2 separate regions of the Mus musculus genome follow, and region 2 is reported to be linked to region 1. Evidence: microRNA targets listed by miRTarBase, many of them from high-throughput screens and not tested one by one. Region 1 holds a microRNA gene; the other region holds the end of a gene's coding sequence.
What was found. The annotated mature microRNA mmu-miR-384-5p reads UGUAAACAAUUCCUAGGCAAUGU and lies in region 1 at 2,035-2,057, opposite strand. An mRNA with a match to its seed (bases 2 to 7 or 8) in the 3' UTR can be bound and repressed. Matches are read on the target gene's strand: a 7mer-m8 pairs with bases 2 to 8, a 7mer-A1 pairs with bases 2 to 7 and ends in A, and an 8mer does both.

Region 2: the mRNA of Ints12 is a reported target of mmu-miR-384-5p. Seed matches in the 3' UTR shown: 7mer-A1 at 1,313-1,319.

What each region holds. Positions count from the first base shown.
Region 1 is chrX:105,342,298-105,345,449 of GRCm38, forward strand. It overlaps Mir384 (microRNA 384), which reads right to left and starts at 2,072; the gene lies at 1,985-2,072.
Region 2 is chr3:133,108,899-133,111,898 of GRCm38, reverse strand. It overlaps Ints12 (integrator complex subunit 12), which reads right to left. Exons shown (of 7, transcript NM_027927.4): 7 at 911-3,000. The coding sequence ends at 2,480. Among named protein-coding and RNA genes, the nearest start is that of Ints12, 19 kb to the right of the region's middle.

The sequences.
Region 1 (3,152 bases):
TTAATTCCAAAATGCTTGTTCTACATATCAAACCTCATGTATGGTTCAAAGAGTATAGCAGCATGACTGGAGAGATTCCCTATGAAACATCAAGGACTGTGAAGATGAAGGTCCAGGTCTTTCATTCTGAGTTCAAGATGAAACACAAAACCTTCAAAATGTAAAGTTGGGTTGCCTGAACAATAACATAATGTTCAGTAGTGAGCCAGTGTTTATATTCTACTCGAAGCTGTTAAACCCACACTTGTACTTGTGGGGGTGGAGCATCTCCTGTAATCCAAGCATTGGCAGAATCTGAGGAGTAAAGGTAAAAAGATCAGCAGTACACAGAGATGTTGAAAAATCTGTCTAATCATACCTTTAAGAAATATAGCAAAGAACTTCTGTATTTGTCTTTCTGACAAGGCCTCCTCTTTTTAGACTTCCCTTACCTGCTGCATTGTATGATACAATCCTTCCACTATGTCTCCCACTATGGGTATTTTTGTTGTCCCTCTTCATTTCTTCTATTATTTTTATTTTCTGGACCAATATGTTATTCCTAAGGCACAGTAACAAAGCACTTAAGCTATGCCTGCCTATACAAGACACTCCAAAAACATCCATTCCTTTTACTTGCAACTTAGTGAATGTTATCTACAGTCTTTATCTTCCTATTGTCATACCCAATGCTGACTGTTCAATGGGTAGGAGACACTGAAGTGAATAAGCATATGTTTTCCCAAGGACAGCTAATTTCAAATAGCCTACCTAAATTTTCAGAAGATATATTCTAATTTTTGGTTAGAAAATATGGTCACCATAAGTGTAAGGCATTCTTGAAAATTACACAGTACATAGATCATTGCAATTCAGTTTGAAAGGCAAAATGGACTTAAGTGAATAGAAGCATTAAAAGAAGATACACCAGAGAGGACCAAAACAACTAGATGGACTTTGACAGACAGAAATGCGTTGGGCCTTGGGAAATGGGTCATGTCTGAATACAGTAGGGATGAGACTGGGGTTGAGTGTCATCATCTAACCAAACTGAGGACCATTTAAAATATTGCTCAGCTGTATATTACTATATCAGCCAATGTATACCAGTACAGATGCTGAAATCAATTGTCAAAAGACTTTGTCCATACTTTTGATATTTCTTGATCCAAAGCCCGCATAGCCAGCTCATTTCTTGGCTTCATCTGAGTGGGCTGCCAGGATGGTCCATTTCCACTAGTCAAATAGAAGTCAAGGGAATCCACTTAACTGTCTACATGCAAAGAAACCCAACCAGTGGCTTGATATGATCATAACACTCAAGGCCAAAACTCATTCAAAACTCATTCAACATTTTGTTTTCATTTCTAAATTGATTTAAGAAAAGATACAACCCACAGCTATGCTGATATAAACCAGTAGGCAGATCATTTCAAAATAGTAAATGAAAATAGATAACTATAAATAGTAATCAAGTATACATATTAAATAATGACTATGCAAACATCAACATATTAACATATAAGTGAACAGGGTAAGGTAAAAAATCATGACAGTAAGGTTGATAGATATTATTGTTTCTTTCCCATGACTTATGGAATTAGAATATCAAAATTTGTTTGGAAGTGAGGTTGGAGAAAGGCAATGAAGCTTTAGTTAAAGCTTTTGTAAAGGAGTAAGAAAGTTTAGGGCTTTGGCTCACCTAAGAAGTACAATTGCCTTTGCTCCTAATTATTGATTTTTTTATTTCTAATGCCTCTTAAAATTAGCATGTCTAAAACCCTGCATCACCAAAGTACTATCAAATAATGCAGATACCCTTGGGAACTATGGAAATCAAGTAGTAGTGCTATTATCAGAATTATTAACACCTAGACACATTAACAAATAAATAAGTAGAATTGATTACAAAAACAAATGTCATGATCCAGAGATGTTCTAGGAATGTACAGTTAGCTTCTTGAAGGCTTCCTATGTATTTCAGGAATCTTGCTAGCTGAATATATGTTACAGGCATTGTGAACAATTTCTAGGAATGACTTACCAACATTATACACATTGCCTAGGAATTGTTTACAATTCCTGATTTAACATTCCGCTGCAAGAGAAATAACCAGTTAACTTAAATTTGATCATACACTGGCTTCAAAGCAGAAGGCAGCATTTCTGCAGGCCTGCCATGTAATGGGAAGATTGACTTTTACATAAAACTTAGACAATGGCTAAGTAGCTGGGCTGTTCACGTTGAAGAGTCACATGCAGAAGACAATGCATCAACTGACTGAAGAAAAATGCCAAGGAAAATTCCTTTCATTATTTTTAAAGTGAATTAATTTTACAGCAATCACAAATCCAAACATATAATGCATAAATATTTCAAAAATGAATTAAAATATGTAAGTCTACATTTCTTTCTTTGCACTATTTTTGAACAAATTGCCTACTAGCTATTTTTATTTTTAAATAGATTAGGATCTGTACACTCAAGATATGTACTGAACTGTCTGAAGCAGTCCCCCTGAAAATGTGTTCTGATGTTGCCATTGTTCAGAATAGTTTTAAAATGCTGCTTTGAGAACTAACTGCCTTCCGAGCCAGTTTATGAGTGAGACAGTAACAAAATCACATTGTTTTCTTATCACATTTTAAAACTTAGCTATACAGCATAGTAACTACACAATTTGATTCAACCAGGTTCATCAAAGAAATCAAAAATCCAGCCACATTGTTCCTAAAGCCCTGTCCCAGGCCACCCCGAGAACCTTTACTTAGGCTGGATGCGAGACAGTCTTTCATTCTCCACCCAAGCACCCTAAAGTCATGTCCAGTTTTTGAAAAGTACTGGCTAACATTTGTTTCAAAAATCTAGACTAAACTTTTCCAGTGAACTTTCATGATACACTGTGTTTGTCCAGATGAGGCAGCTAGACTGTAAGCTTCATGACAGCAGTTCACTGCCTTATTCCTAGCACCTATAGCCATGTTTTGGATGTTGTCATTGCTTAACAATATCTGTTGAATGGTAAATGGATGGTTGTAGGGGAGGTGATGATGGATGTATGGATAGATGGATAAAGTTCACTAAAGAGTTATTACAGATATATCTTGGGATATTGTTCTGTAATAGAGTACTTGCCTAGCATATACAAGTTCCTGGGGTCATATCTCCAACA
Region 2 (3,000 bases), not on the chromosome of region 1:
ACTTGGGGGTTGGGGGGAGGGCTTTGAGGTTTTATACCCTGCTCTATGTCTTGTTTCCTGAAAGCTGAGACAAACTCATCAACTGGCCTCATGGTCTGGTGCCCTGCTTTCACCATCATGATGGATTCTGTCCCTTGAGAGCTGTAAGCCCAAATAAACCCTTTCTCTTTTAGGTTGCTTTTGTCAGAGTATTTTATCACAACAGAAGAGAAAACTAAGACACCTTCTCACTTGTTCACTCATTCACTGGAGAGCTGGAGATTCCAATGCTATTCAAGACAAAACAAGCTCTCTACCCCTCATATAACTCAAGTGTTAGAAATCCTTGTTATACATAACCAAAAAAAAAAAAAAAAAAACCCATACTATTGCTACTTTCATAACTGCTTCTTGTAGTATACTTGATGAGGAAAAAAATAAAGGCCTATGAGCTAGTTAATTTATAATAATTTATAATATCAAATATATACCTTAAAAATACCAAATTTAGGCCCTTACTACACACACACACACACGCACACAAATTACCTATACAAAGAATCCTATTCACTGAAAGATAAATTACTTCCTAAACTCATTAAAATTTCCAACTAGTGCCACAAATATCAAAAATAATTGCTTCTCTCAGATCCAGCACACTTTCTGTAATGAGACTAAAATTTTTTTACTTCAAAGCTAATATGTAAACTGTACTAAGCATTATTTCTCTAATGTCTTCAAGGAAGTGAATTTCAATAACTGTAATAGCTGTTGATATAAACTTGTGTCAGGTCATTTTGTTAAGTCAAAATTGCATTTGAAGTATAAACAAACTGTTTTGAACTCTTTATAAAGGGGATATGGAGTTTATACCAAACCAGTGTTAATGAACAGAAAGGTGATTCACAAAACAAAAACATCTACAGGCACATTTTTAAGTATATAAATAGATATTTATTCCATCTCTAAATTTTGAGTTTATTTCAATATTGGTTTCTAATTTATTATGAACAATTTAACGCCATTATTTAACAGTTTAAAATACTTCCATAGAAAAAGACCAAGCTTAATTTAAAAGTTTTCTCTTTTACAATGATTATCAATTTATTTTTAGAATAATGATGTTAGAACATCTAGGGATAAAGATACACTGAGATTAGATTTAAAGCAATTTGACTCAATGAATATAGGAAATCACAAGATTCATTTTTGGGAAATAATGAGGTATTCATTGATTATAAAAAAGAAAGGAAGCTATTTTTCTATAATACATTTACTGGTCAGATACAGAAAGTATTCTCTGTTGGGGTATGTACATATATACATATATATATGTAAACTAATGGGTAATTCATTAGCTTACAAGACAATGGCTTGGACCATGTATATAGGATCACATCACGGCAAGAGTTCAGAGGAGATTTTGCCCAAGGGTCAATTCTGGGATAGCCTTTTATAACTCCACTCTTGGCCAGAATTAGTCAGTGGACATATGAGGACTAATTAATCCTTCCCAAGGGCATACTCTTCCCCCAACAGGCTCCACCTGTCAACCACCAACTCCATTGCCATATTGGGGATTATGCTTCCTAACACATAAAACCTTAAGACAAACCATATCCTAACAATATTCAAAGCATATGAGCACGTTCTGACAGAAACCTCAAGGACTAATCATTAGGTAGGAGCCTCTTTCATACAAAGATAAACCACACCAAACGTTCTTGAAGTATTAAAAACAGCTTGTCCTTTCACCATGAGGAAGAAGCTGGGTGCAAACTAGTCATAAATGCCCATCTGCCAAGCCTCTTGGAAATGGATACTCTTCTCAATGATTCTCAGAATGTGCAACCAGGATGAGCCAAGTCAGCATTTATTAAATGTACATATCTGCACATATCCACACACTGGCCAGGTACGGAAAGTGGGCAACGTGAGAAAGTATACTGTATGAGCATTCATAATCTACTGGAATAAATAACGCCCTAAGTAATTGATAAGGGGTGGTTGAGAGCTAAAGACATGATAGGGAGCTATGGGAAATCACTTTCAAAATTAATTTTGATAAAAGAGGAGGTAATTGGAGAGAGATACTAGCTGACATGAGGACAATGACTGACACTGAACATTTCAGATTTTATAAAACGCTGGAACACTTTCTATTGAGTTGTCCCTGCCACCCATAAGGTACCAGGTGAGCCATTTCTTTTCATCTGTATGCGCCATCAATTTCTTGAAGCTCTTGTCATGCATCAGTCATTATAATCACTATTTTCACACACTATGGAAATTAAAAATGCTAAACAGACTGAAATAAATAGATCCAAGTTTGGCTAAATAATATTAGCATTTTAATGTAACAAACAATAGAGATTTGATCAAGATTTTTATTAAGGTACAGTACATTACAACTTTTGTCCCAGTAAGGGTTTTATTTTGTTTGTTTTGTTTTGTTTTTTAAGTTTTAGAGTAATATGATATAAAAATCTATCTGGCCATATTACTTCTTGAGTTTCTTTTGGGCAGCTTTCTTCTTGACCATCTGTAATCGCTTCATTGCGTTGAGCTGTGATTCTTGAGAAGTTGGACCTTTAAGAGATGCTGAGGTACTGCTGCTGGTCTCTGATGTGGCTTTGCTGGTGGTACTTCCACTGGGCCCCGTTGTAGCACTATTTCCATTCCCACTCAATTGGCTGCTGCCTCCAGGAACTAAACTACTAGGACTAGGAAGACCCACTTTGCTGACGTTATCACAACTCACTGAGCGACTCAGGCCAGTCTTGCCTAAGGTTAGTGGTGGAAGCGGTTTCAACGGGACAGAGGGGCTAGTGCTGTTACCAGAACCTATTTTGGAACCTATTCCACCTTTGGATGATGTTGCCAGACCAGTCAAACCCACAGGCTTCTGGTTAGAGGATGAGGCAGCAGGTTTTCCACTACTGTTTTGTGCTGCTGAATTCAATTTTGCTGTTGATGGACCAGCTGAAGAAGTTTTGGCTGCAAAAGCTGCCCATCCAGTTA